Alligator mississippiensis: one gene and its partners. The protein of the gene in region 2 interacts with the protein of the main gene of each other region in a biochemical or structural test. Links are inferred from orthologs where the notes say so. Each region holds a gene or a part of one and is shown on either strand. Other genes may lie near its edges.

What was found.
Region 1: the proteins of UBE2I (region 2) and MITF form a complex in vitro, tested with the Homo sapiens proteins (2 studies listed by BioGRID). The link is inferred for Alligator mississippiensis from reciprocal best matches to the Homo sapiens genes UBE2I and MITF.
Region 3: of the proteins of UBE2I (region 2) and TRPS1, one has a biochemical effect on the other in vitro, tested with the Homo sapiens proteins (2 studies listed by BioGRID). The link is inferred for Alligator mississippiensis from reciprocal best matches to the Homo sapiens genes UBE2I and TRPS1.
Region 4: of the proteins of UBE2I (region 2) and DAXX, one has a biochemical effect on the other in vitro, tested with the Homo sapiens proteins (5 studies listed by BioGRID and IntAct, with this or other methods). The link is inferred for Alligator mississippiensis from reciprocal best matches to the Homo sapiens genes UBE2I and DAXX.

What each region holds. Positions count from the first base shown.
Region 1 is NC_081835.1:6,396,770-6,403,628, reverse strand, and holds the start of MITF (microphthalmia-associated transcription factor), read right to left. Parts: upstream 3,004-6,859; 5' UTR 2,963-3,003; coding exon 2,739-2,962; intron 1-2,738. UniProt on the Homo sapiens protein: Transcription factor that acts as a master regulator of melanocyte survival and differentiation as well as melanosome biogenesis.
Region 2 is NC_081836.1:59,500,055-59,507,763, reverse strand, and holds the start of UBE2I (SUMO-conjugating enzyme UBC9), read right to left. Parts: upstream 3,019-7,709; 5' UTR 2,916-3,018; coding exon 2,896-2,915; intron 1-2,895. UniProt on the Homo sapiens protein: Accepts the ubiquitin-like proteins SUMO1, SUMO2, SUMO3, SUMO4 and SUMO1P1/SUMO5 from the UBLE1A-UBLE1B E1 complex and catalyzes their covalent attachment to other proteins with the help of an E3 ligase such as RANBP2, CBX4 and ZNF451.
Region 3 is NC_081826.1:25,711,901-25,719,745, reverse strand, and holds the start of TRPS1 (zinc finger transcription factor Trps1), read right to left. Parts: upstream 3,007-7,845; 5' UTR 2,611-3,006; intron 2,275-2,610; exon of another isoform or gene 1,902-2,274; coding exon of another isoform or gene 1,892-1,901; intron 1-1,891. UniProt on the Homo sapiens protein: Transcriptional repressor. Binds specifically to GATA sequences and represses expression of GATA-regulated genes at selected sites and stages in vertebrate development. Regulates chondrocyte proliferation and differentiation.
Region 4 is NC_081834.1:64,839,787-64,847,028, forward strand, and holds the start of DAXX (death domain-associated protein 6), read right to left. Parts: upstream 3,011-7,242; 5' UTR 2,982-3,010; coding exon 2,773-2,981; exon of another isoform or gene 2,649-2,772; intron 2,278-2,648; exon of another isoform or gene 2,188-2,277; intron 2,004-2,187; coding exon 1,685-2,003; intron 1,262-1,684; coding exon 403-1,261; intron 153-402; coding exon 1-152. UniProt on the Homo sapiens protein: Transcription corepressor known to repress transcriptional potential of several sumoylated transcription factors. Down-regulates basal and activated transcription.

The DNA of each region.
Region 1 (6,859 bases), on a different chromosome or scaffold from region 2:
CATCTACCACAGAGACTGCTACCCACAGTTCATCTGCACGCTCCTTCACCATAACCCACAGCAAGGTGCAGGGTGATAAACAGAAGAGGTAGGCCTCTCCCTGAACAGCATTCAGCCAACAGTTTTGTCCTCCCCCTCTCCCAAGGGTAAGAAAAAAAATTAATTAAAAAAAAAAAAAAATCTCTTTAGTCAGTCAACACAAAATTTTTCATCAAAGCAGCTGGCTGAAAAAAAAGTGTGCAACTAGCTCCAAGCATTCAGCTTGCCACAGACCATGGAGGGGCTTTGCAAATTCATTTCTTCAGCAATCTCCAATCATCTGAATGGGCTCTTTGGGTCTCTCAAAACTGGCACTGAGTTAGTCATGTGGGCCTCAAGAATGAGGATGCTTGACCACAACACAACATAAAATCAAACTAAATAAAAAACTTCATCTTGTATTCCGGATGTGATCATGAAATCTATAAAACAAAGGAGGAGGTAAACTCCAGGATACAGTATTTAAATGAGCAACACAATTACTAGGCACTTCCTACAAGTGTAATGCATGATACAAAGCCAGTCTAGATGGAGTCATACCTATAAATCACTAAATTTTATTGAGTCCAAAATCTGTTCTCTTTTTAGAAGAGGTTAGTGACTGTACATATCACTCACTATACAGGGACTTTGTATGGAAAACACACTAGTCAGATTAAGTTACATTATTCTGACAATAAAAAGTTTTCTTTACTCTCTTACTGATAACACTACATCATTAGGCTCTACATTTAATCTCTCAATAATTTGTTTGTTTCAGATACAAATATTTTTCTCAGTTTAGATAGAAAACGCTACTCAATACCAAGTCAATTTTGGTTGCAGGCGCTCACATGCTGGCTGGTTTGCAAAACAGTTTTGGATTAGATGAGTTTCTTTGATTAAAAAACTCTCAAGAAACGTTATATATCCACAGCTTCTATATATTACTAGAACCCTGAGTGTCCATAAAACCCTACTTACAACAATCTAAATTTGCAACAAAACTTTAGTTAATCATCCATCTCATTTGAAACATTAAGGTGGCACGCAAATCTGGGAAGCCCTTTATAGAAGAGTTGATCCATGCATGCAAAATGACAGAATGGAGGTGGAAGATGGTCATCATAATCCTAAAAACCCAGCCAAGAGATACACCCATGAAGGACACCGCTGTGATCATCATTCAACCATCCTGATCCTGGAACAACAAGTGTCACTTGGAGCAAGGTGACATGTGAAAGGGATCACTCAAGTCTCCATCCACTCCTTATCAAGAAATGCAGCTAAAACTTTAAGTCAAACAATGCACCTTTAGTTCCCAATTTGTCCCACAATTTAGAAGTGTGACAGGAACAAAGTTGGAAGCCGCAGCTTTCACCACTCATATTTTCCATTTCTTTTTCCTCGCCCAGAGCATGATCTGAAGCAAAGTTTAGGAGACAACGGTTACAGCAAACACAGTTTCTGCTCCCCACTCACCCACCCTCATTTCACATGCTAACTCTGATGTTCAGCTGTGAATTCATTCAAAACCTTAAACCAAAAAACTTGATGCATTTTATTTCCCCAAATTGAAACCAGGTGAAAACTCTAGATTATGGGTGGATCCTACCCAAAATACAGCGCTAGTCTAGTCTGGTTCAAACTGAACAGTCACAGAGACGTGCATGAGATTTCAGTTTTTAACTGGGTTTGCTACCGAGCAGGCACATTACACATGTGCAGGAGGCTATTTTACTGTGCATTAAAGTGTCACGTCAAAAAACCAAGCTAATAAGCAAATGTGCAGTAAAAATAGGCTACTGTGCATTGTGTCACTAAAAAAAAAAGTGTGCACTTTTGCTACTGCACATTAAGGCAGCCTAATGCACATTTATTTAGTACCTCACATTAGAGGTAGTAAATTTAATATACAGTAGCAAAAGCCCATTAATGAATGTGTAGATGTGCCCAGCAAGTATGAAAAGGCTCTAGAACAAAAGAAAAAAAGAAAGCATGAGTGTTAAAGGGATTCCCTAAAAGGCTGCAATTTAATCTCTCATCCTATTAAAGAGTTGATCAACAGAACAAGAAGCTGATCGGGGGGGGGAGAGTTACTGTTGTTATACTTCGAGTGTCAAAACACTGCATGTGTTTGAATGCTGGAGGATAAAACTGCACCCTGCTCTACAACAGCTCCAGACCAAAGAGTTAATTTGGGATCTGGCACCTTACCTTCCAAACAGCTTAGTTTAAAAAGCAGGCAATGAACAGAATCAGTCTTTAAGGTGGGGAAAAAAATTAAATGACCTTGAGAGATCCAAGTACTGAAGAGGCCACTTCATCGGCAACATGGTAGACTTCCATGCCGATCTATTAATCCAGGCAAAAGCAGCGATAGGATTTTGTTCAAACATAAATTGGAAAGGTTGAAATGTAACCCACCCCTGCAAGACCTGGGAAAGGGAGGCAGTGGCTTCGAAAACAGGACAGGTGTCTGAACTGCCCTTGCTCAAAATCTGGGAGGAGGGGATGGGAGTGGAGTAATAAAGATGCTATAAAACAGCTTGCTTGTCAGGAGGCAGGGGCAGAGCCTGCCTACTGCTCAGGAGCAGGATAGGGGGCTCTCAAGAACCACACTAAAAGCACTAAAAGCCATGCTAGCAAGGGGAGCACAAGCACAAAGTAACCTGCCATTCTCCAAAAACTAAGAATTGATTTGGAATTAGAGGTATTACCTGGCCAGGGACTCTAAGGCTGGCAAATAAAAGCTACCAGAAGCAGCAGCAGTGTCTAGGATTTTGCACTGTGAAGATGCCAACCGAGCTGAAGTTCCCTTAGGAAAGGCAGGTGCAAAAGAATGCAAGGTCTGAAAACCGGTGTTTGTCGGCTTACGTGTAATAACCGCACTTCTTTGTGCCGTGGATAAAGTACGTGAGGGATACCCACGTATATTGTTCATGCACCCCTTGTTGCTTAATTTAAAAAGAAAAACAACTTTAAGAAGAGATCCAAGACTGGCAGCTTTTCAGCTCAATACTTTGCTTCATTCACAGGTGCGATGTTTATAAAAAAAAAAAGTCTAATTAATGTACCTGCAAAGTTTCATATTGGCAAGATAAAACGTCGGTTATCAAATAAGTTCACACAGACCATCTTACAGTTTCTTTCTACGTAGGAAAAAAGAAAGCTTCACAGGAACTTCTTACTACTTAATCCACACAAAGGTATAATGAAACCTCTGCATATGAGCAGCCAGTGGCTCTGCTGCTTAACTAAGCAAGGCTGCCCCACAGGAAAAAGTGAAAAAAAAGAACCAGATTACAAAAAAATTGGCTCCTCCTTGCTGTTTTTAGTTCGGCAGACCACTGTTGTGGTTACCTACACTAAAATCTCTACGCTGTGCTCCACTCGCAGCACTTTGTACTTCATTCCAAACCTTAATAAATGATCGGGGGCGCCAAGTGACACTTCCTTTCGCCATTCCCATTGGCTGGCAGAGCTCAAAGTATCAATGTAGGAAAAAAAAAAAAAAAAAAAAAAAAAAGGTCTTGGCACGCAGCTCTGTCCTTTCCTGCCAAGGACAGAACAGCAAACCTGGTAAAACTACTCTATTATAATGGCTGATAAAGTCTACACACTATTTTTTGTTGCTACTGCATTTCAGAATGTTTTACTTCAAAGCAGCAGTATGGTTTCCACATCTACCAGTGACGTATGTTCTTGGAGATAATGCCACTTACCGTGGCACTTGCTTCATCACCGACCTGAACGTATTTTTCTCCTTCAATCCTTTCTTTACTTTTCACAAACCCCTCTTGCTCTGAACCCTTTCCCTCCAGCATCAGCATTTAAGATTAAATCCAACACTAGGCATATTTGCAACAATACACTCAAACAAGTGTATTCTACCCGAAAGTGCATTTTGTCAGATGGTGCAAAGTGAATATAAAAAGCATCCTTCAAGAAGTGTCCAGGAAAAGACAAAAAAAAAAAAATGTTTGCAATACAAGAATTAAGTGTTGATAAAAAAAAATTAATTTTGATTGCAACAAGAAGTTCATTGCATCATAATTGTTTAATTAGAGACAGAACCTGCCAATTCAAGAGTCTGTTAAGCATGGATTTTTTTAATTAAAATTCTGCAAGCAGTTGTGCACCATTTAGTATTTTTCCGTTTTTCCCCTCTGTCTTTAAACACACCTTCACAAGCTAGTGAGCATAATGCATTTCCAACTTAATGAAAACCTCTCTCATGACCCAAGAACATTCAGTAAATAATTATTAAGCTCTGGAGGTGGTTTTTGCATGAGTCTTGACTTAATAAAATGCTATAAGTTGATTTGCTTGAATGCTTATTCACTTGGGGACACAGCTTTAGGTACTGTTTGGAAAAGCTTGATCACCATTTCACTGAGTTGCAAGGTAAATGCAAAAAAGGAAGATACAACTAAAAGCTGAAAAGGTCACCATAATAAAAGGATTTTTTTTTAAATGTATCCACTAGAGAGCAAGAGGACTGTCACTTCAATATACTGAGGAAAGGACTTTTTGAATACATTAGTTAAAATAATATAAATCGGTAGAAAATGATACACTGAAATATTTTTCTTGCCCCATTTTAATCTGGAGGGAGGAGAGGAAAGGAAAGCAAGGTAAGCTATACAATGCCAAGGAGATTCCACAAAGAACATTTCTCCTACATGTGCTTGTGTGTCAAGGCATTAACCAGTGTATAAACAAAACCAGAAACACTACTTTTATTTTTATCCCCATTCATTTAGCATTAAAAATTTCAAGTTTTTGGTTTTTTTTTAAAGGAGTGTTTCTGCTTCCCCTCCTGAACGTTTCTATCTTTATCGTAGGCAGTCACACACAGCTGTTGTAGCTTTAAGATAATGACAAGTTAACAAGCACAGTATTTTTAACTCGCAGAATAAAATCATTACAATAAAAGCCCAATCATACCATTTGTTCAGAGTGCTGATTCTCAAATAAAGTGGCACTTACAGATACAAGCTTTCAAAGGAGCAGGGCATGAACATCTGAACTCTAAAAGCTTCCATCTTTTTTTCCCCCCCCCTTTAAGGTGCTCTGCAAGCCCTTGGAGAAGAGTGAAAGTCAAACTCGAGTCCTGGCAAGGGATGTGTCTCTAGGGGTGGCTCCAGATAAGACCGTGGCAACTCCAATCCAAGCACAGCTCCGCGCTCGAGTGGAGCCCTGGTGTCTGTCTGCATTAGCAGACCTGTTCAATCCAGCGCCTACCTGGAGAAGAGTGCAGCTTGACACAGCAAAGCATGCTCTGTGGGAGACCTCCAAGCAGAAAGAGATGTGAAGACCTTTGGAATCAGGGTCCTGCTCGGGGCATTAGACTTACCTCCCTCAACTTGTTCATTGGCTATACAAAAAGGGTTTGACCACGGCAGACCAGAACAGAGGAGATGCATCTACTCTGATGATAATTCATGAAATAAAAGCATGGAGTTAGCAGGATGGGGCACCGATGCTCTAAAACCCGCACACTAGCAGTTTTATTCTCGTTACCCAACCCATGGATTGCAATGAAACTTTAGGGCTAAGTACAGACAGTCAAAAAGCCTGAGGCTGAATCAAGTCAGGCTTTGCAGGTTAGTCTTAACTGCACAGATTAAATTGAAACAGAAGCGAACAGAAATTTACCTTTGATTCAGGAAAGGCAGCCACGTGCCCGCAGTGGCCCCTGGCTTCTGGCCTGAGCCACTAGAGCACAGCTCTCTGGCTATGTGCTGCCCCCGAGGTCTCTGGGATTTGCAGTCCAGGATCACAATAACAGGACTCTGCAGGGTTGCTCATTACTTCTTCTTGCTTCCAAGTGCCTCTGGGATTTGTAGTCCAGAGTGGCAACCAGTATGTTTGAGCAGGGGAAAGGGTATTTAACCCACCTCCCTGGCCCCACACCCCAGCTAGGATTTGCCTGGGGGGGGGGGCGCAGTCTTCCCTTCCTGCCCACTCCACCCCCCCCCTAGATTGGACTGCATCCCCGGCCAGGCTTGCCCCCCACCCCCTTGTCAGTCAGCCCTCACTGCTCCAGCTAGGGCCAGCCCTGCTCTCTGAAGCAGACAGCATAGCCCAGCCCAGGACTGGAAAGTAGCTGGCCAATGACCGTGATCCTTCCCTGAGGTCCCTTCCAATCCCAGTGCTCTGGGGGAGGGACAGAAAAACAGCATAAAAGGCATTGTTTGAACAGAGTTTTCTCTGTGCCTTCCCACTTAAAAGTGACATGAGTTTTGCTCTGAAGTTTGAGGTGCCATTTCCCAGAAACCCCTGCACCTATCTCCTTGAAACTTGGCAGGCTTCGTGACCTCAGCAGGGGCCATCATCCCTGCAGTTTTCACCCCGCTGCACCTTAACACACACACACGTCACGATTTTTGCTTTTCAGCAGTTTGAGGTGTCGTTTCCCAGAAACCCCTGAACTTATCTCCTTAAAACTTGATGGGTGTTGTGGGGTCAGCAGGGGCTACCATCCCTGCTGTTTTGATTTGAATCAGAAAAGAAACGACCGAGTTACAGGCAGTTTCTTGATTCCCCATTACAGCCTACAGGCAAAGCACATCAAAACGGTTTTGACAAAACAAAACAGTACTTCGAAACAGCAAAACGAAACTGTCCCTTCAAAACGGTGAACCGGAAGTCTAAATGAAACAGTGCTGTTTCGCACAGCCCTAGTAACCAGCTGTTCATCCAGGGCTGTGCAGAGATTATGATTTGACTGCTAGCATAAATCAAGAACCTATTTTTTCTGTTTTGGGAGGGTTCTGCTTTTCAAACAAAGCGAAAAAAAAAGTGTAAAAACTGGAGAAGTTCAAGACACTTCTTT
Region 2 (7,709 bases):
AATGCCAGTTCTTAGTTTTCCCTCAATTTTGACTGCAAGAAGGTAATAGAGCAATTCTTCTGTTGCAAAGACAGACCACAACAGGTCACAATGTTTTTAACACCCTGCTTCCTATTTGAAATCTGAGTTTATCATTATGTTTGCAACCCTAGCAGTGCTAACATTGCATGGTACTCCATGGCACCCTTGCAAGGATCTGACGGCATCCCAGGGTGCCATAGCACCGTGGTTGAGAATCACTGGTCTACTCGATTAAGAGATGTGTAAGCTTTCATAAGCAAGAGTTCATTTCAGCAGATGGCTTGAAAGGACACGCACAGAGCAAACTGTGTCCTTCTACAGCACCTGATGAAGTGAGCTCTTACTCTTGAAAGCTCATGCACCTGTAAATCACTTTCTGGCAGTGGTCAGCAATCTGTGGCCCCTGGGCTGGATCTGTGGCCACTTCCCGCGCCACTGCAGGGATGAAGACTGGCTGTGGCAGGGTCCTAGTGCCCACCTGGCCACCTCCAACCCAGGGTGGGTCATTCCACCCCACAGCTAAAAACGTTTGCTCACCCACATCTAGAAGGTGCATCCACACTCAACTTCAGACTACCATGGCTAACTATCTCTCTATACTGATTAAAGTTAGGTAAGTAAGAAAAGGATATTTGGATTTCACAATGCCAGAATATTTGCAGATTACCAGACACTGTACGTGCCATTAACCATCTGTAGCAAAACTGGATTTAATAGAAAATAAACACAAGACACTTTGATACTAATACTTATTTCAAAATATTCTCACTGTATCAAATTATAAAATAATTAATTTCATTTAGTGAACCAAGGTCAGCCCCAGCAGAATAAAGATAAATATGCAGTAAACCCTACCATCATCATAATATACTCAGTATTTCATCCTCAGTTTCTCCCTACCTGTTGCCAATCACAGCATGAGACAACAGATCTGTTAAAGCAATTGATGGTCCTCTGGGCTACACTGCAACCATCGGTTAAAAAACCATGAAAATCAGTTATGCTTATGGCTTGATACAGTATCCCTAAGTTTCAAAGGCAAAAAAAAGGTAACAGCTACTCCTAAGAAAAATATTAAGGGTCAAGTTTTGTTTGCGAATGCACAAATGCAAATTCCACAAGATTAACGAACAGTTATATCAGAGCAAATTTAATTAACCCATGCATTCTGTGACCCGCGTGGTACCAAAAAACCACCAACAAACGGCGTTTTCCAAAAAGTGACATGCTGCACCTTCATCTTCTATTTCATTACGGTAAAATTTTGTACTTCTTTTTCTAGCCTTCCTGCCTGCTCCAGCAGGTATGCACCCTGCTATGGACTAACAAGCCTGTGATTTTCTTATTATACAGCATAAAGTTCCCCTCATAGTTCAGTAGAAGGCATTAGATTCAGCTTAACACATCCATCAGAGTTCAAGTTAAACTATTCCCAAAGTGACCTGCAGACAGTGAAGTATTTTTTGTTTCCAACGTAAAAGAGACTATATGCAGGACTACCATCTGCATTAATGGTTTTATACACTTATACTTCAAGAGCAAGTTGAACTAAAATTTTTAAAAGGACCATAACACTATTACATAAATATTTTTCCTCTCATCTAATAAAGTTGATTTCCTACTTCTACCCACTCTCCACTCAATGTAAAATGGACATAGTTAGCTTCACTAATATGAGCGGGAAAATTAAGGAAACATTTTTAAAAGCTGTCACTGCTAAATATTACTATGATTTTTATATATTTCAAAACAAATAATCATAGTCATTAGATAGCACAACATTTTCACCAGCTTATTTCATTCAGCAAGTTAGTTTAGTAGGCAAGGAGAATATTTTAAAAAAGAAGAGTAACTTTAGACTTAAATTCCATTTTCAGAATTACTTAGAAATCTTTTAATTTCTTACTAGAGCCATACAAATGGATAACATTGGACTAGTCACATGATAATTAGTATATAAATCCAAAAATCACAAGATCTTTCACGTTATGAATTTATTTTCAAAATTTGTTCTTTTATAATTTAACTTGCATCTATCATCTGAGCTCAAGCTTGAAGACCTGGATATGGATTTCACAGCATACATATAGTGTCTGAGTTAACTGACTGTACAATAGAAACTAAAATGTTATCCCTGAAATTAAAAAAAAATACAGAATTGGACACTATAATACAAACCTAAATACAACATTTAATTGATTTTCAGAGCCTTTTTCTAAGGCTTATGACTTTCCAAGCAACTAGCCAGGAAAGAGGCTTGAAACAAAAGATTTGACAAAGAAAGAGATGTCAATGGAAAAAACCCCTTAAGAACCCCCCACCCCAAGAATTGGCCAAACATGATTTTAGCCAAGCTCACATTTCCTCTGCACCGAAGCGTAAACAACCCGAGCGGCAATGTGAAGAATCACGGTCTTGGTCTAGAGGGTAAGGTACAAGTCAGGTCTGCTTGGACTAAATTTCGTTCCCAGAAATGCCACAGGCTTCCTGGGTAAGTAACCACGGGCAAATCACTTCAAGCGACTCAACCTAGACCTGGACCAGGTTACAGACTCTCACATTTTCGGAGGCTCCCCCTAGCTGAAGAAACGTTTCTAGGTTCTCTCTCAATGTCAAGAGTTTTGAAAAGCTTCCCTTGAAGTGTTTACGCTGCAGGTTCCAAACACGAGGCCCTGGGTACGATCAACACTCCCATTCCCCAGATGTATGTGCTGCCTGTATTTTTCTTTCTGGACAGACAGTTGCAGATACAGACTTTACAGACAGCCAGTTTAACTTTCTTCTAGTAATGTAACTTGTAAGTAATACAATTCAAAGCTGGCCGCTTCATTTTAGTGTCTGCTTATTCACCTGTGGAAGTGGGAGATCACACACCTTGCAACATGTGCAGCCATGCAAAATGAACTGTGAACACATCAAAATCCTCAGGCAGAAAGTACCACGGACTTCTTATGGGCACTGACAGAAGATCTCTATTAACTTTAACCCTTTCTCATTCCAGACTCAGAAGCAAACCAAGAACCCCAGGGAAGATCTCAATGCTTCTGCTCTGGTACCCTGCCTGCTGGCACGCAGCAGCGTCTAACCACGCTGTGTGACAGAGCGTGAATGTAAACACCGCTTTCTTCCTCAGCGTGCTCAGAAGCACGGGTACGTTCTGCACGCTGCTGCGAGCTCGGCCCTCCGCAGCTCTTCCGATCGCTGGCGAAGAGTCCTCGTACGGATTATACCCCAGGTTCCACTCACTCCTAAAAACCAAATGCAAATATCTAAAGCTCGCCATATCCTGCAGAATCATTATTCTAATAATTCTTCTACGAGGACACAAACACCTGCTACTAAGGGAGAAGCCCTAGGTCATACGGGGCCAACAAGTGGCACGCGACAGACGGGGGGGAGCAGAAAACAGAGCAGCAGGTGGGGTGAGGACAGGGAGCGGAGCAGTACTCTGGGAGGTTTCATTTGTGGCACATCCACCAAAAAGGCTGGCCCCGCTGGGCCAGGTCACCATCGTTCGGAGGGGAAACAAGTTAGCCAGGCCTTCGGCAGCGTCCGGCCACGCCTGCTGCTGAGGCCAGCCCCGCCGGGCGAGACCGGAGAACGGAGGACCGTGCTCGAGCCCCCGTTCCAGCCCGTCCTTCCCGCTTCTCCCTTACCCCGCTCCCACAAACGGCGCCGCGCTCCTTCCCTGCCGCTCGGCTCCGACCGCGGTCCTCGCGCCTCCCTTTCGCTTCGCCTCTCGCTCCGCCCGCGCGGCGGCTCCAGGAGCCAAACTATGCGTTTAAATCTGGAGCAACGACTCCCGCCGGCTCGCCCTTACGTAAAGAACGGCGCTTTCCTTCCTAAACGTGGTCGTCCGCCGCCCCCGAGCGCGGGGCCTCCCCCGCCTCGGCAAACACCTCCAGCCCGGCCGCACCCGCGTCCCGGCCCCCGGGAGCCCCGGCTGCGCGCGGGCGGGCGGGCCCGGCCCCGGCCCCAGCCCCAAGCCAGCGCCGGGGCCGCCCCTCGTGCCGCACGGGGCCGGGCCGGCGGGAAGTTTGCTGCGGCCCCGCACAGCGCCCCGCGCCGGGCCTCGGCGCCGCCCGCGCCTGGGGCAGGGCCCGCGGCCTCCCCGCGCCGGGGGCCGGGGCCGGGGCCGGGGGAGGCCGCGCGGGCCGGGGAGGGGGCCGGGGAGAGGCAGGGGGCGGCCCGGCTGCCGGCACCGCGGCCCGCCCCGGCCGGAGCCGCCCCGCGGGGCCCGGAGGAGCCGGCGCGGCCGCCCTTCCCCCGGCCCGGTCCGGCCCTTCCCTTCCCCCGCCGCCCGGCCGGGCCTCACCGTGAGCGGCCGCAGCACCCGCGCGTGTCCCGGATTGAGGCGGCGGCGAGTGACCCGGATGTTCCCGGCCGCTCCCCCCCTTTGTCTCTGCTCCGGACTTTCCCTCCCTCCTGCTCGGCGCGGAGCGCGGCGGCGCGGCGTGTCCCTCCGCCCGACCCGTCCGTCCCGCTGCGCCGGCGCGCTCTGACCCTCGCCCCGACCCGTCCGCCACGCCGGCCGCCCCCGCAGCACGTAAGACCCGCAGGTGGCCAGGTTAGTGCCCGAGGCGCGCGGCGCTCCCGCAAGTCTCGGCTGCCCGGCCCGGCCCGGCTAACTCCGCTGCGCTCCGCAGCGCGCTCCGCTCTGCTCCGCTCTGCTCTGCTCAGCCCGCGGCCCTACCGGCCTTTTCCTGCAGGCACCGAGGTGGCCACCTGCGGCCTCAGGCTCTTAGGACCCCGGCCGGGGCGGCGGTGTGAGGGCTCGGAGGTGGCGCCGCTCGCCCTGGCCTCCGCCCGTCGTGCGGGCAGCCCTGCCCTGCCCTGCCCTGCCCTGCCCTGCCCTGGCCTGGCGCGCGCGAGGACGAGTCCGCGGCCGCAGGGAGGGGCCGAGCGGACTCCGGGCGGGGGGCGGGCCGGAGAGGCCGGGGCTCGCGGAGACCAGGCGGCCCCGGGGCGGGGGCCGCTGCCCGCGCGCGTGTCGTGTCCGGGGGGCGCAGCCCGGGAAGAGCCCGCCCTCGCCGCGGCCCGCTCCCGGGTGGGGGGCGCTGTCCAGGGCCCGGCCCGCGGAGCCGCGCCAACCGCTGCAGCGTCCCGCCCGGCAGCGCCGCCCGCCCCCGCCCCGCGCTCCCCTGCGGCGCGGCGCGGCGCGGCGCGGCGGTCCCGGCTCTGGAGTGGGCCTGGGCCCGCGCCGCCCCGGGGCGCCCGGCAGGGAGGTGTCCCCGGCACCCCGGGGCTGCCCGCCACGGCGAGGGTGAGGGCGAGGCCGGCGCGGGGGACGCGCTCGCCTGCGGCACGAGGGAGGCGGGCGTCGCGGACGCGGCCCAGCCCGACGGGGCGAGCACGTGCCGCTGGCATCGCGGCACTGCGGCCCCGGGCACCCGCAGCCCTGGCGGGAGGCGCCGAGCTGCGCGGGTCCCGCTCCTCGCAGCGGGGGGGCTGCGGCCAGCTGTCCTTGTGGGCGTCTGACCGCTTAACGTCGCGTTGGGTCTGGCCCGCGTTGGGAGAGACGCTGCCCCTGCGCGGCGCGACGGCCGTGCCCTGCCCTGCCCTGCCCTGCCCTGCCCTGCGTCATCGGCCTCTTGCCAGCGTACCGGGCAAATCAACGGCTTAGATTTTTTTTAAAGCCTATTAAAGAGCCGTAGAAAAGCAGGGCTGGACGGGGGCTCGGAGGTCGCGCGTCCGATCCCCTGCTCGAGAGAGGATCCCTCCTGACAAACCGACCTGGTTAGGCGTTCCTCGAACCTGCTCCGAGACGGCGAGGGGTGGAGGTCCCCGCGCCGGTCCACGCGTGACCACCCTCGCAAGGAAACGCTGCTAACTAACGCGTAGCGTAAATGTCTGTGGCTGCAATTTGAGACCGTTCTTTGTCCCGTCTCCTGTGCCCACAGAGACTAACCCTCCTCTAACTTCCCTTCAGGTATCTGAAGACTTATCGAATCCCTCTCAGCCTTCCCTACACGAAACGCTCCCGGTTCTTTCAGCTTTTCTTCCTAAATCCAGATTCCCAGATCTCTCATAATTTTTGTGGCTGTCCATAAAAGTCTAATCTGTCCACATGTCTCCGTGCGATGCTCAGACCTGGACGGAGTATGTCGGACAAGGCTTCACCAGCGCTGTCAAGGGTGCGAGAATCCCGTCCCTTAATTTGTATTTAAATAATATTCATTCAGTACATACTTTCTGTCCAAGTTTAAGGACAGTTTAAACACCTGAACTAGGGAAGTCACTGGCCAAGTGCCTGCGTGGTATTAATGCAGCCCAGGACGTGGGGCTCCTTGGTTTGGTTTGGTTTGGTCTGCAGCAAGACTCATTTTCAACTTACGGTTCACTGTAGCCCCGGGGTTCGTCCCTGCAGCCTGACCACGCGTTCCCGTTCCCAGCCTGTGCTTGTACCTGTGATTGCTCCTTCCTACCTTTAGGACTTCTGCGCTTGTCCTTATTGAATTTCATTCAACTCATTTTGGACCAGCTTGTCAAGATCATTCTGGATCAGGGGTGGGCAGTTACTTTGGCTGGGCCTACTTAATGAGGTTTGATGAGCTGTTGAGGGTTGCGCACATCACAGTCAAAACATCTACTGTAATGTGTTTGAATAGTTCGAAATAAAGTCCTACTCTTATATGTGGGGGCAGCGCTCGTGCGCTAGGTCCTGGGAGCTGACCGGCCGTGGGGGAGGAAGGGGGAGCGGGATGCATGCAGCAGAATTCATGCGGGCAGCGCAGGTTCAGGTGTGGCTCATCCCACCCCACCCCACCCCGTCCACAGCGCTCCACATGGGGCCAAGCCCACCAGACAGCACCGCCTGAGCCCCGGCCGGCACAGCTGCCCAGCGGGGCTGCTCTTACAGCTGCCCAGGTACCACTCAGCTCCCCTGCCTCCTCCTGCGCCTCTCTGGGCAGCAGTAGTGCGGGGAAGCCGTAAGGACCCGTGCTGGGAGCCGGGTGCCCAGACAGGCCAGGGAGAAGCTGCGGCCAGGCAGCTCCTGCCCCAGTGTGCAGGGCTCCGGCTCCTGGATGCCTCCCACCCGTTCAGCTGCCCACAGGTGTTCATTACACTGGGAGGGCAGGATGGGTGGAAGGCAGCCAAGAGCTGGACCCGGAGCCCTACACGCTGGGTATCTGCTGCCTGGCACACGTCCCCACGGCTTCCCCATGCTGCCTGCTGCCCCGAGTGGCACAGGGGGCAGGAGGAGGAAGAGCCACTGGAGGCAGGGGTAACTAGCAGTACCTGGGCAAGTGTGACAGCAGCCCCGCTGGGAAGCTGTGTGCCCTGGCTGGGGCGGGGTGGTGCTGTCTGGTGGGCCTGGTGCAGGAGCAGAGCAGACTCGGCCCCATGCAGCGTGCTGCAGGGGCGGCTGCAGGCTGACAGTCAGTTGCTGGGCGTCTGCTCGTGGCCAGGTCCAGTCAGTTGGCAGGCTGCATCCAGCTTGCAGGCCATGTCTTGCTCACCCGTTCTGGATCCTAGCCTCACCCTCCAGTGTCTGCACCTCCGTCCAACTTGGCATCATCTGCAAATTTGCTAAATGTGCACTCAGTCCCATCCTCCAAAAGTTCAGGAAGCTATTCAACAGCGCTGGACCCAGGGCAGATCCCGGGGAACCCATTCGATGCCTCCTTCCAACTACACATTGAGCTACTGGTGACTACACTTGCAGCATGATAATCCAACTAGTTATG
Region 3 (7,845 bases), on a different chromosome or scaffold from region 2:
TGAAACAGCAGGACAGATGATAACATGAGTGTTGCCTTCATATGTGAAATTCCTCCTCCTTTTAAATATAAAACATAATATCTTGATGTCGTAAATATTTTAGGCTTTAATTTGTACGTGAGTATCAGTGTACTGATCAACTACAGTATGAGTGACTTTATGAAACTTGCTGAACAATCTACAATTTATCAAAAAACTATATCTATATGTAACTTTTAAAAACAAAAAGGAAGGCCGACTTTCCCCTTCCCTTTTTTTTTTTTGAACTGTTCCACTTATTTGGATTAACGATGTTATTAACAAACTTTCACTCGGTAGTTTAAAAAAAAAATCTTCCAAAGTGTTGATATCATTTCCAGACAGTCTTGTCAGCATCACAATTTACAGGAAATAGTTGATGTTCTCAAACAAGCCCTGTATTTACTCATAGACCCACAGTACTTTAAAAAAATCCTCACTCTTTTGGAGTTTGTTTTTTGTTTTTTTTAAATGTCACTCTGGTGGAATATCTGACAGAGCTCTCTAACCTAATGTACGTATTGCGAACATGAGGAAAACACTGTCTACAGCTCAGAAAGAATACTGTAACTTTTATTCTCATTTTGTCCACGTCAGAAACTGGCTCTTACCACTACTTTCCTTTGCTGCCCCTTGCATTTTAACTCTGGCAGTTTTCTCAATGATCAACTTTTCCTAAAACCAACAGGAAAGTAACATGATGCCATCAAGATCCATAGGTTTCAATTGCGTAGTTGAAAAAAGCTGCCTGAATGGCAAAGATTTTGATGGCTCCTTTATAGTTGTAATGAAATGGATTAAATGAAAACCAGGCTCATATGAAAGTACTGTTTATTACACGTAGCATCCACAAGATGCTAGGTGCTGTACAAACTAGGTATGGGCCAAGCCCCAAGGAGCATACATATCTTGCATCCTCTGTGATGTGTCCCTTTGCATCTGTCGCTTGCTCACTCATACTCTGTTCTCCTCACCACAGTGTCCTTGCACTTGTGGAGGAAGAGAAGATGGACTTAAGAGGTCCCTTCACTTTAACTTATGACTTGGCCCCACATTTTTCAGTCAACGCACTTCAGAGCATTGACACTGGTGTCTGGAATAGCGACCTGATATTTTTTAAGTGAATGGGCCCCTCTACAACCTCAGAAACAGAAAACATACAGAAGTCCTGGTTGATTAAAACACACCTTATTTTTCTATTAACCCCCCCAAACAAATAAATCAAACCTCCCCAAATATCAACGAGAGGCTCTGCTTCATGCGCCGCTCAAGTCACAAAGCAATTCTACGCTGAAAAATAGCCCCCTGTCACTGCCAGCATCCCACAACTTTGTGGGTCTTTCTGGAAAGTCCATTTGGATTTTCACGGCCTTTCCCTGGGTCCCTTCTCCCCTGGCCAGGGCCCAGGGACGGGGACCCAACCGAGCGGTGCAGAGCCCACCAGATCCCACCTTGCCTGGACACTGCAGCTTTTTACCAAGCCACAAATGACCCCCCCCAGCATCACACTCCCCCTCCTCAGAAGTAGCCAGCCTGCCCTCAGCCCCATTCGTTCAGTCCTAGCCTAAAAAAAAAAAAAAAAAAAGTCTGTCAGACAAACAGATCCCTAGTGGAAAACACAAGGAAGGGGGTGGGGGGGAGTGAGGAAGGAGACAAAGTTATGGCAACCATGGCAGGGCTCAGCATGGGACTGCGCTCTGAGAGCACAACTTTGCCTTTAAGAGGAAAAGTTTTCCGTCGCTCTCTGCTCTGATTTCAAAGGGAAAAAAAAAAATCCACCACCACCATGTCGCCTTCCCCCCACCATCCCCCCCCCCCGGTGTGACCAGGGCTTGCTCTTCCCCCCAAAAGAGAAAGTTGGTCCCAAACTTACTACTCTTCATGCTGGTCTCTGTGCCCCGCTTGTCATGATTCCCAGTAAAAACTTCCAGCAGCAACAACAACAGCAGCAGCAGCAGCAGCAAGGACTGGGTGACTGCAGCTCATCGGATGCAAGATCTCTTCTCCCCCCTTGCCCAGCGCCCCGATGGGGGGATCCCCCGGGGAGAGCTCCCCCCGCACAGCACACCCCGGCCCCGCAGTGCCCCGAGGGGTGGCTGCTGCCCCCGGGGGAGCCGCGGGAGGCAGGCGGAGAAGGGGGTTGTTTTCCCTGCTCTCTCCGCCGCCTGAACTTGACCCTCCTGACTCCGAAGGGGCTACTGCAGTTTGCAAGTCGCCAATTCCCAGCGATCACACATGGCTTTGACCCACCAGAGGACGGGGAAAAAAATGCACCCAAAAAAAAAAAAAAAAAAACCCCACCAAAACACACACACACACACACACACACACACACACACACACAACCCCCCCAAAATAACAGAGAGAGAGAAAGGCTGTGAAACCCGAGAAGCCCCCGCTTCCTCCGGGCCGTGTGACACCCCCCCTCCCTCACTGTGCGTGTGCAAAGAAAGTCACTTTTAACCCCCCCTTGCACACGCACCAGCGCTCAGCACTCACTACATGCGCAACAGCAGCAGCCTCCCCCCCCAGGCCTGCATCTGCCCTTCCCAGCCCCCAGCCGGCTGCTCGCCTCTGCTCCCCCGCCTTTACCTGTTGATTAATCGGCAATAATAATCTCAGCAGCCTGGAAGATGGTGGAGCTGTGGCTTGAGCCATGAACCGTCTTCTGTTGTTTGCAGAGTTGATCTTGGATGGCTGGGGGGGAGGGGGGGAGTGCGAGGGTGAGTGTGTGTGTGCAAAGGGGGAAGGGGAGAGGGGGGAAGACAGAGAGAGGAGAGGAGGGGGGGATTTTTTTCCCCCCCTGCCTTTTCCCCCCTCCCCTCTGCCCCCCTCTTTGCAGGGAGAGAGAAAGGGAAAGAGCAGGGACCTGGATGTGCCTGGTGCGTGTGTGCAAGGGAGGAGAGAGCCGAGCCGGGGCTGGGGAACAACAGCCCCGGAGGAGGAGGAGGAGGCGGCGGAGGAGGAGGAGAGCAGCGGGCTGCAGATCGGCTCTTTATCAGAAATGTTATCGCTTGTCAGGACCTCCGTCTCCGAGCATTACGTCAGTTTCAAGACACCAACACTATTAATATCAAAGGAGCCTTCGCAGAGAAAAGCGCCACCCCAGCCGGAGCGCCCTTAAAGAGACAGTGCAGCGTCCCCGGCGCGCTCCGCCGGCGCAGCCTCCTGCTCCTCCCCCGCCCGCGGGCGGCAGCAGCCACCGCTGGGGGAAAGGCGGCTTTGGACTCGCCCACGTCATTCACAACTTTCCTCCGTGTGATCATCGCCGTCCGGAGGAGTCCGCTGCCTCCTTTCCGCCGCTTCCCTGCTGCATTGAGCAGACAGAGGGAGATGTGGGGGGCAAAGTTTGACCCGGGGGGGGCAACTCTTGATTGTCCTTGCTGGTCCTTACCCGAGTGAATGGCCATTCCTTAATGTGGTGCGACCTGTGCAACCCTTCCTGACACTCGCATCCTTCTTCCACCTGCAGGGAACCTCAATGTGCCATGCCGAGAGAGCAGGCAAGGTTTTGTGGGATGGGGGAATGGGATCTTTTGCACTGGGTCAACTGGAGAGTTGGGGACGTGGGTCTTTGCAAGCTTTCGGGTGCAAACGCCCTTCTTCAGGCATAGGGAGTCCGCTCCGGATAGCTGCATCTCGGGGGATTCCTCTTCCTTTTGAGCCGGCAGTGCAAAGTGTGGGGCATGTGGGGCTGGGGGATCCTATAAAGTTTTTTTCTGAATTGGAAAAGAAGTCAGAGGGATATTAGTTGAGCACCCTGATCTCCTTCACAGAGATCCCTTCAGAGGCCCCTGAAGTGTCTTACAAGAAGATGCCAAATTGCTGTTGTGGGTATTGGTGACGTTCCAAAGGACTGACCGCCACAAACGGGGCGAGATACAAAATTGAAGCAGTCCCTGCCCCCAAGCGCTTACAATCTCAGAGGTGCAAACATGGAGCAGACAGAGGATTGACCGAGACGTCTAGATTCCATTCTTCAAATGAAGATTAAAGTTTCAAATTAGCCTTCCAAACTTTCAAATTATTACAAGCCGCTTCTCGGTGCTCCGTGATCATCACAGGCACAAGACAACCCCAAGCTGCTCTTGAGAAAATTCTTCACACTTTTCTGTGTCTATACAGAATCTTTTCAATTAAAAATAGTCAGATTTCTCCCATACCAGAAGTGACTAGCAGTCAATGTCTCTAATGTAAAAAAATAAAATAAAATCTCCAAGGCAAGGCAATACATAAAAGGTTCCTGTGAAAGACTTTTAAATCCCAAATATAGTAGGTGTCAAAAACTATGTAAACATTTGTTGAGCATTTCGACACAATTTTTCTGCAGTTAGGTGACTTTCTGTGGCATGTTTTTCCTTCCAGGCAGGTCATTTTTAACTGATTTCATATGAAAATAGACACATTCCAGTTACTTGCAGCTAATAGTACATTTTTAAAGTGAGAAGCTGAAAAACCTGTTAAACAATTAAAATATTAGTTACAGATGAACATATCCCCCACTAGATATTTTTACATACCATAACATTTTCCTTACAAAGTTATTTTCAGGGAAATCATGAATTATAAAGCATAAAGTCCTCAAAGGTACAAACTGAGGCAAAATGAAACCTACTGTAAAATATATGCCATTTTCAGCCTCTTCTCCAGGCTTATACATTCTTCATTTATGTTTAGTATAATATACTGGCAGATTTGTAAAGTAATTGCTCATGTAAATCACCTAGCAACACATTTCCCCCTTAAGTTCTTTTGTAGGGCTGTCTGATAAAGCACTTTATTTATAAAAAGCAGTAAGTCATGTACAAGAGGGAACTCGTCAGGATGGAAAGGGTAAGTAAAATATAGTTCCACAATGAGGAACACAATATATTCCCCAAAAGTGGGAGAAGAAAACTGACATATTATGTGTGGGACTGACTATATTCCCATCAGCAGAAATTCATTTTGGAACAGTTCTGATGTTTATATATGGAATGCAAAGAAAAGCAATACCAAAATCTTTCATAAAATTTAAAGTCTGGTACTAATGACTACCTGTATATTTTAATACCAGAGCAATTTGCTATAGCACATCAGAAATATGCACAATGAAAGTACTTTTGGAGAACATAAATCTTCACTCTTTTTTTAAGTTGAAAATGTTGTTCTTGAACTTATACAGGCAAGGTTTAAAAATCATTTTAATAGTTTCAGTCATTGTGAAATACACTAGAAGTAACTGTTGTGTTCTACTGAATATAACTAAATATTTTTCTCCATCCTATATAATTTAGATTTTTAGCTAAATACAACAGGGCAGAGTAAGCAATCAGCTAGCAGTTCAGTCCTGTATAGTAAGGATTAAAATTAGCAGGTACTTGGCTGATGGTTTGGCTGAGCATCTGACAAGCAGGGCTTGAATGGAAAATATTTAAACAAGGGTTAGTCCCCTTTGCTTCTCTGCTCTATTAAAATTTATTAAGCAAATGTTTCTGCTATAAAAAGGGAAATGATGCCCCTTCACACTTTCAATCCTATCCAGGCTTACATGTACAAATGCAACAAAAGTTCACATTGAACTAGAAGAGATAAAACATGGGAAAGTGTGATAACTATGGAAGTACTGTACATGCTTCAGCATATGTAAAACTTCCTGACACTGACATCTTCTTTCACCTGCAGAAAACCTCACCAGAACGATAAGTGATTTATATTTTAAATGCTATGAAAAAAATGCATCAAGGTTCTTTATTCTGTATTTTTAATATTAGAATAGTAAGAGTGCATTTCATACGTAACTGCTAGAATAACAAATTGCTTCTTCATCGTTTAAATAGAAAACTTTAAGGAAACATGGTATTGCACAGAGAAGTATGCTACAGTATCTCTGTAAAATAATGCTTGCATGATGCATTCTGCCTTTGGAGTTAAAATAAAGCAGATCAAGAAGACGTCAATATCAATCTGTTTATATTAACCACAAAAGAGCTGTGGAGAACTTAATAAAAGCAAAAATATTTTCATAAACTTTTTCAGGCAAATTATTTATTTATGAAATAATTTACAATGAAAATTTTTACCTCATGCTTTAGATACATTGCATATGCTTATGATTGACACAATATGTTCAGCTCAAAGGCCCGTGCAGCATTTTTTTTATCTTAGCAGGAATATTTCAAAATAACTAACTAATTCATGAGGTCATACAGTAATTGTTTGACAGTTGTTTTTAATATAGAAAATAAGCTGTGTATATTGTTTTCATTCAAATATTTGTTGATTTGTCGTTATAGTCCTTTGACATTGACATGCCACAAATTTCATTATGAGAAATATCGAAGATTTGTTTTCATTTATTATGTTCTTCTGTCACACATTTGCAAAGTCACCTAAAGAAACTTGTTTCTTTCCCATTTATTTCAGATCCATATTCTGTGTGATATTAGGTGGCTGTTGAAATAAAAAAATCCAGCATTTTATGGCAGGTAGGAACTGAAGCAGAAATTAATAAAACAAACAAAAAAAAACCCAACAAAGCAAGAAAAAGCCAGGAAAGTTCTACTTTCACATTAGAAGCATGAACAATGTAATTTCTAAATAATCCTCCATTTTTTACACTCAAGCACGTTCTCTATTGAGGGAGAATAGAAAGGCCAGTCATAATGGCTTTTTGAAGGAAAACAGTGTAACAGCCATTGTTTATCGAGATGACATAAACATGACATTTATGCCTTTATTGTTTAATGCAGTTTTTCTTTTTCTTGTAGTTTACTCAGTGTAGATACAAAGAGGGATTAACAGGTAAGCACAAACATTCTTGTTTTACTATTTCAGACTTTTAGTGCAGAACTTACTTACTTGAAGTGCTAGAGCCTATAATCACAATGATTTTACCTGATGGAACATACGTTTTAGAAATTTAATCCAACTGTTTACCCTAACACATCATAAATTGCAATTCTTTACAAAAACCTCAGAGATTGACATCCATTGCTCTTAAATGCCTGCTGTTTTAGCACACATCATCAAGAAAATATTTCTGTATTATTCTCCCTCCAGTTAGTAGTATATCACATGAATCCTAGAGACCGTTTTCTTTTACTGTCTTCAGAAATGAGCATTTTGAAGTGCACTTGCTTGTGTGTCTCAGGCACTACAATGTAAGTTTCTTGGGAATATAAATAATGTATATTACAGAATTTCTGCAGACCCACTTCATTTCATTGCACCAATTTTGTCACATAAAACCCTCCCAAAAGTTTTGTCCTTTCTTATACAGGTACAGAATCAAATTTTCGAACTTCCAACAGTATACTAAGGTGGAAGACAAAACATTACAATTGATTTTAAAAAGGAACAGAGTTGGGGACCATAATGATGTGGTTAAAATGCCTCTGAAAAGAGATTATGTATGGTGATGGACAGGATAGCACTAAAAACAGCCAATTAAACATCATGTAACAGACAAATTAATAATGTGGCATGAACCCATATTCAACAGATGTTTTCTAGGGGGACTGAATATCTGGTAATGGGAAATGGAGCCTTTTACTTCTATGTCACCATTTTTATACAAGCCAGTAGTGAAGGAAGGCCATTAACATCTGATGGGTGTTTGGTGGCCTTCTCTATTGCATCATGAAAAAAAATGTCCTCCACAGCATACCACTACTACATCTGAACCAGCACCAAAATATGTCATCACACTTACAGACAGTATCATAGATTTAGTAGATTTCATAGACATTAGGGCTGGAAGGGACCCTGTGAGATCAGCAGGTCCAGCCCCCTGCCCAAGTGGCAGGAAGTCAGCATCAGCAGAGAGGACATAGATTAAACATGGAA
Region 4 (7,242 bases), on a different chromosome or scaffold from region 2:
CCCTGCCCGTCTACGGATCCTTTCTTCCTCCTCGCTCTCATCCTGCAGCTGGGCATAGTGCGAGATGACGCTCTCCAGCCGATTCAGGGCTGTGGTCTGGTTCTCCCGCAGACGCCGGGCCAGCATTGGGTCCGTCAGTGCAGGATCTGTACCTACAACCACGAGGGAGAGGGACAAATAAACTAAGCATCCACAGCCCAACCTTCTGCTCGAAAGGCACTAGCGTCCCTGCAACCAGATTAGCCAATAGACCCCACAGCACGTAAAGAAGAGGCTCAGTGCTCATCAGCGGGGTCCTCTGTCTACCACCTTGTGTAAGCAGGAGAGAGGCACAGCTCTCCCTGGAGCAGCAGTAGACAGAGGCCCCTTGGGCCATGCCAGCCCCACACACCCTGCACTCACCAGGGCGGTAATGGTCGGTGAGATGGCTGCCAAAGTTGTAGATGAGGTCGAGGTGGCGGCGCTCCTGGAGCCGGTTGCCGACATCCCGAAAGGCATCCTGGGCCATGCTCTCTATTTGACGCTTCTTCAGGGCTAGGCCATGGCGGGCACTGGCCTTCTGAATGACCTTGAGGATGTCAGAGTAGTCAGGGAAGATGTCAGGACGGTTGATGAAGCGCTCGATGCGACGGTTGACCTCTGGGTAGCGGGTGCCACGGTAGGGGATGCGCTGCTCGATGACGCGCCCGGTCAGGCTGCTGCACTGCTTCAGCTCGCACAGGCGCTCAAAGATTCGCATCATGCGGCGCTTGAGCCGGCTCTCCTGCAGGTAGGTTGAGTCCTCGCTGTCCATCTCCGTCAGGTCCAGCTCCCGCTCCTGTAGCCGACGGATCTCCCCCATGTAGATGTGCAGCAGGTTCTCCAGGTACCGGATCTGCCGCTTGGAGCCTGTCCCATGCCGCCCTGCCCCAACCTCTGCCTCCATGGCTGCCAACTCGCTCCTGCCCGCCTCAGTGTCCGCTGTCTCATGCTCCTCAATGTTGTTCTGCTCCTGATTCGTGGCAAGGGGTGGGCAAGGAGCGGGGACAGCACTGATGGCCAGCTTACGGCGCTGGGTGTTGGCCTTGAGCACAGTGCATACTTCATTAATGTAGACATACACCTTGTGGTGCCGGGCCTGCACGCGTGTCAGGCAGCGGCTCAGCACATTGCGGAATTCAGCTGAGCCCAGGAATGCGGGACTGGCCTTCTGGTGCCGGCCCGTCAGGTAGGGGACCACCTCGGGGTGCTCCTCCGTCAGCTGGGAACAGCAGGCTAGGAACTGTTGGTGACAGACGCACAGAAAAGAGGCAGGTGGGGCTGGGGTCAGCCAGGCACGGTGCTCCAGGAATTGAATGGGGTCAGGTCAGGGTGGGGGTGGGAAAGGGAAAAGATAGGCAGGGAGCAAGTATCAGTGCTCCACGGACTAGGGGAAGGAAAGCAGGCAGGTGGGGAAGGGGTCAGGGGTCAGCCAGACACGCTCCAAAACCTGGGGGCACAGGGGGAAGCCAGAGGGGGTGACAGTGAGCAGCTGGGGCCTGGGCCCCGCTCCACCTCCCCGTGCTGGCACAGGGGAGCCCCCCTCCACCCCCAGGGCAGCCTGGGGAACTGAGCACAGCGCGCTGGGCAGTGTGCACTGCAACCCACCCTGGGCTGGGGATAGAGAGGACCAAGGAGCCTGGGCTGGCATGCGAGGGGAACTCACGTCGGCAAACAACTGCTCGTTCTCAGCCTGGAAAGCGCCCCTGTCCTGGGGGGCCGTGGCGACAATTGTGGGACCATCCAGGGAGGCCTGGCTGGGGGGCGGGGGGGAAACGGCATGGGCCAAGGGGCCATCCTGGGGGGCGCAGCTGGTGGGCAGGGGGGAGGTGGTGGGCGGGGTGGGCGGCGCCTCATGCCCCTCGTAGTCGTCGTCGTCCAGGACAATGATGCTGCCGTGGGGCGCGGCCGCCATGGGCGCAGGCTCACAGCGGGGGGGCGCAGCGCATCCCAGGTGGGCGGGGGGCACCTCCGCGGGGATGGACCTGCGGGCGGAGGGGCGTTAGCACCACCAGGGGCCCCCACCCATCTCCCCGTAGCCCCGCCCCCGCGGGGCCCGGGCCCGCGGAGCCCGGCGGGGGCGGGGCAGCCGCACGGGCCCACGGGACGGGGAAGGAGGGGTGGGGCCGGGCCCGGGGCAGGCGGGGCCCGCCCCCCGCGCGCCCTCACCCGCCGCCGCCGGCGCTTCCGCGGGGCCCGAGCCACCGAGTTCCCTCCGCGGCCGCGCGCAGGACCGGAAGCGGGCCCCAGTGTCAGGTGCGGGCGCCGCCATGCCGCCGTACGGCCGCGCCGGGCCAATCCGGGGCCGCGTTCGCATCCGGGTCCTGGCCGGGCCCGCGGCGCCGCCATCTTGTTGCACGGCGAGCGGGGGCGCCCCGGCGCGGTACGCCTCCCATCGACCCCGCCCCCGCGGGCCGCGGCCCCCGGGTGGCTCCCGCCCATCCTCCCTCCCGCCGCCGCCGCCGCCCCGCGACAGCGGGAGGTGCAAACCGGCCGCCCCCCCGACCCCCGGGGCGCCGCCATTTTCCCGCGAGGAGAGTACTTCCCGGTGTCGCTAGCCACATGACCTCACTGCCCACGTGACACCACCCGACCAATCAGAACGCCGCACTCTAGCTTCCCCCGCCCACCGTTTAAGAGGCGCGGGCGGGGCATGACTTGGACCCAACCACCTTCCCGCGCGGGGTGGAGGGGGCGGGCGTTCCTCTCCGTTGTAGGAGGGGGCGCGCGCCACTGCGGGGGTCTGGCCGATACCATTCCCGCAGGGCGGGGGGTACGTGCTCTGCGTCTGCTCCGCTTCCGCAGAAGATGGCGGCCTCCACGAGACAAGCCATTAATAGCGCCGTCCACGCGCCGCTCCGCCGCGGGCTGCTAAAATGGCATCGGATTGATAGCGACTCAGCGCGCATGTGCGCACCCGCACCTCCGGGCAGCTGCGTTGGCGGCCCGAATGTTCTGCGCATGCGCTTCCAAGTCCGTACAACAAAATGGCGGCGCCCAGGACATTTGCAGTTTCGGTCAGGTGGGTGGAGACGGCGGCTGCGGAAGGCCAGAAAACCCCAGTGCGGCCAAGAGGTGGCTCTATGGCCCTCCCGGGGCTTTGTCAAGCTGCACGGTCTGCAGCGGCGGGAAGCGGCCCAGAGGCTGTCTCCCAGGGTCGGGCTTTACGGTTACACGGTGCATCTGAATGGTGCTGGGGGGGCTTTGCTGTCAGGGAACAGATCCACCGCAGCTGCAGCTCCGAGGTGGGCAGTCCGTGCCGCCTCTTTCAGCATGGAGCTGTCCACTGCCCCACGTGTCCCCGCAGCCGCCACGTGAAACCCAAGGGAGCGGGGCCGGGCCCTCGTGCCTCGGGGTCACTGCAAAGGAGCGGGCATTTGCAGCACAGCCGGTGCGCCAAGATGTCCATCAACCCCCCGCGGTGATGGTGGCAGCGGCCTGCGAGCCCTGGTGCAGGAAGACCGCGAGCGCTGGCTGGACACCCCTTCTCGTTCCCTGTGACTCCGGGTGGAAAAGAGGCTCAGGATCCAAGCCAGGGCCTGGTGGCAAAGCCGAGGCACATACTGCCAGGTCCCTCGTCCGACCCATTGCACAACTTCCTCAGCCCCCATCCACCGGCAAGCGTGAGCTTGGAGCAGGCCTTGGCCCGCAGACACCACAGGGAAAGGTGCCCGGCCCAGTGCAGATCCCCAGTCGCTTGCCTTGGCACGGCCATGCAGTTGAGTCCCAACTCATAAGAACACGATCGCCGCGCCCTGGGTGAGACCCGGTCGTCCTGCCCAGTCTCAGGGTGGGGAGTGAGTGCTGATGGGGGCGGTTGGTTTTCCCCCTGTTCCTCTCCCACCTGCAGCCTCCAGCTTTTCAGGTCTGGAAACCTCCGACCCAGAAGCTGTGCCCCTCGCTCTTGTGCTCCATAGTGACTGATGCCCCTCTTCTCCAAGGATGTGTCCAAACCCTTTGCAAACCTGGCTGAACTCGCAGCTTTCACCACATCCGGTGACAAGGAGTTCTGTCCTTCAATTGCACGCGGCATGAAAGACAACTTCCTGTTGTGAGTTTTAAAAGTCCTATCCAGTGCTATTATTTTGTGACCCCTGGTCCAATTACTTTTCCATGCTTTACAATCACTTAACAAAGCAACAGCATGCCGAGTTTAGGCCCTGACGAAGCTACATTTCATGGTAAATTTAAAATTGAGCTTCTTTTGAATGCTAGAGTCATGGCTGCTTCATTTTCTCCAAGTTGGTGGCTCTCAACCATCTCAGACTTGAAGCTCCTTCAATAGACTCCAGGCTGCCCTCAAAAAGTGGTAGCCCTTAATTTGCAGGTTTTTTGAATGTAGAAAATAACAGAGCAAATTTTCTGGTGCAAAGACATAAGAAAGATGCAACAGGCCAGACTGTTCTTAGCACTATGAATCCTGATGAAAAAGCTCGGGGTTTACTTTGCCAATCACATTCGCCACCTAATAGCACGAGTGTTGTGTGGCACTTTGACTCACCCCTGAGAGGATCTCACAGCACCCTGGTGGGGAATCACTGCTCTAAGTTCCTAGTCCAGCAGATGGAGATGGTCCTGTTACCTATGACCAGAACTAGCCCTGTCCATTGACAGTGAGGCTTCTGATGGGTCATCTACTGCACTGGGTAGTCATCGAGAAATCAAACAGAAGGAGGGCTGGAAGAGACCTCCAGAGGTCACGTCTTATTCAGCCCCCTGCCTGAGGCAGGATCATCCCTGTTCAAACCATCCCTGACAAATCCACAGTCTAAACCTTCACCAGCTTTTGCACTCTTACTCTTTTGACCTCCTTCTACAGTGACATCTCCAATATCTTGTGGATTAAACAGCTTACAATGCATTCAATCTTTCCCCAAATAAAACCTGTTAGAACATGTGATGCCTTCCATTTAGGGTAGATTCTTGCTGATGCCTCCCTCTTTTACACACTGGGTTAGCACATCATGCCACATAATCATTGAACACACAATACAGTCATGCGTTTCCAGCCAGCATGTTGCATAAGAATTGGTTAGTACCCTCTTTCTGAGCCTAGCACTGACCTACGAAGCACCCATCTGATGGGAGCCACTGGATACATCACCTGTTCTTTACCTGTTCAAGGCATTGGAGTGGAGCATTTGCAACCCAGCAGGGCCCACAGGTCTGGCTCCATTATCCCCCAGTCTTGGTGTCTCACGGCAAAATCCGAAACCTAGGCTGGGATCTGTTGATTCAACCCTCTTAGACACTTTCCTAGCATCAATATTCAAAGCGCTTGGACCTTGCATGGATACTACTACCCACAAGACTTGTCCCAGATGGTATGAATTCACAGGTCCATGTTTTCACTTTCTTCTCTAAAGTGGTTTCTAGTCCAGTCGTCATTTTTACTGTTACTTGGTACATTTTAGGCTTATTATAATGGCAACCTGTACTTGCCATGGCACAACATTGTCAAAGGATACATGTGGCTTTTCAGGAGGGAAACCATTGCTATCTGCTGTCCCCATCACGTCCTGGTTGTGCTGCCACCGCTTGATCCATGACTGCTTATTTGTCAGTTACCCCTGCTTATTGTGCAGCTAACCTTTCATGAAGACCATTTCACTCTCTGCCACCTGTGCACACCAGCCCAGCCCCCAGCCATGGGCCTACAAGTCCTCAGTGGTGCAGCAGGCAGAAGATGTTCGAATCTCAATGGCTGCAAAGGCAGATGAAGGCTGCAGTGGACCAAGATCCCCAATTGTCTTGGTTTCCTTGCCATTGGATCAAGATCTCATTCTGTCAAGCTGATGCACAGCAGCTTCTCCATGATAAAAGAAATAATGTACAAGCATCTTCGATGGAAACAGTTTTTCCAGCATATTCTTTAAGTCCTCCAGTGGGCAGCACCTAGTGATGATGGGAGCAGGCCTGTGAGATCTGGAAGCTCCTAGTTATGAATTGGCATGATGATGGCAGTTACAAGAAGGTTGTGTAGCACTTGGAGCCAGGACTGCAATCTGATGGTTGTCACTGTAACTGAGCAGCCCTCTTCAGGATCTGCTCTGCTTGCCCCCCTTGGGAAGGGGCCTAGAAAAAGTTGCTCTGGTTACCTCTTTCCTAACTGCATAACTGCATTCAGTGGGATCCCCTTTGCTGCAGTCAAAATCAACAAAGATACGCAATCAATTTTGGGACCTGGAACATCAGGACCTTCACAGACAATGTTAATAGCAAATGCCCAAAGTGCTGCACCACAATTGTGGCTCAAGAGCCCAGGTGACACAGCATTGACATCACTGTCCTAAGTGAGAACAGGTGAATGGGAGATGGGCAGCTCAAAGAACAAGGAGGCAGCTATACTGGAAAGGTAAACAGGAAGGAGAATGCTGGCTTCATGGAGCTGGTTTTTGCCATCAAGAATGAACTCAACCAATGCAATGACTTCCCTGTTAGAATGAATGAGCACCCCAAGACTCTCTGTTTTAAACCGGCAGGAATTCAACATGTCACTGTCATCCATCCCCTATGCCCTGACTCTTGACCCTGCTGACAAAACCAAGGAGGAATGTTATGCCAACCTCGACCAAGTCCTTTTTGGCATTCCAGAGGAAGACAGACTTATTCTTTTCAGCTATTTCAATGCCAGAGTTGGAAGAGACTCAAACCTCTGGACCAGAAGCATCAACAAGAAAGGAGTGGAGAAAAGTCAACTCCAACGGCATACCCCTTTTGACCAGATGGGCAGAACACAGACTTGCCATCACCAACGTCCTGCTCCACCAGAAAAATAGGCACAAAATATGGCAACACCTGTGATCTAAGCATTGGCACCCGATTGCCCACATCATTGTTCATGCCTAGGGTGACAGATGTCTGCATCACCTGAACTATGCTAGGAGCTGACAGTTGCTGGACTGATCGTCAACACATCTGCTTGGTTATATCATTCAGACTGGCTCCGAAATGACAGCTGCAGCAGAGGCAATGCTGACAGGTCAGTAAGGACCCAATCAAGCACAATCTCTTTCACCAGTGCCTACGTGAAAACAAGGACAATTCCAATCAACAACAGTGGGAGAATGCCAGCAACACTTCAGATGCCTTCAAGTCCACTGGCTTCTGCACCTGCATGGAGACATGTGGATTCACTAGCAGGAAACATCAAGACTGGGTTGAGGAGAACAACCAGGAGATCCAAGAGTTGATCGACCACAAGCGCAAGGCCTTTTGTGCTTG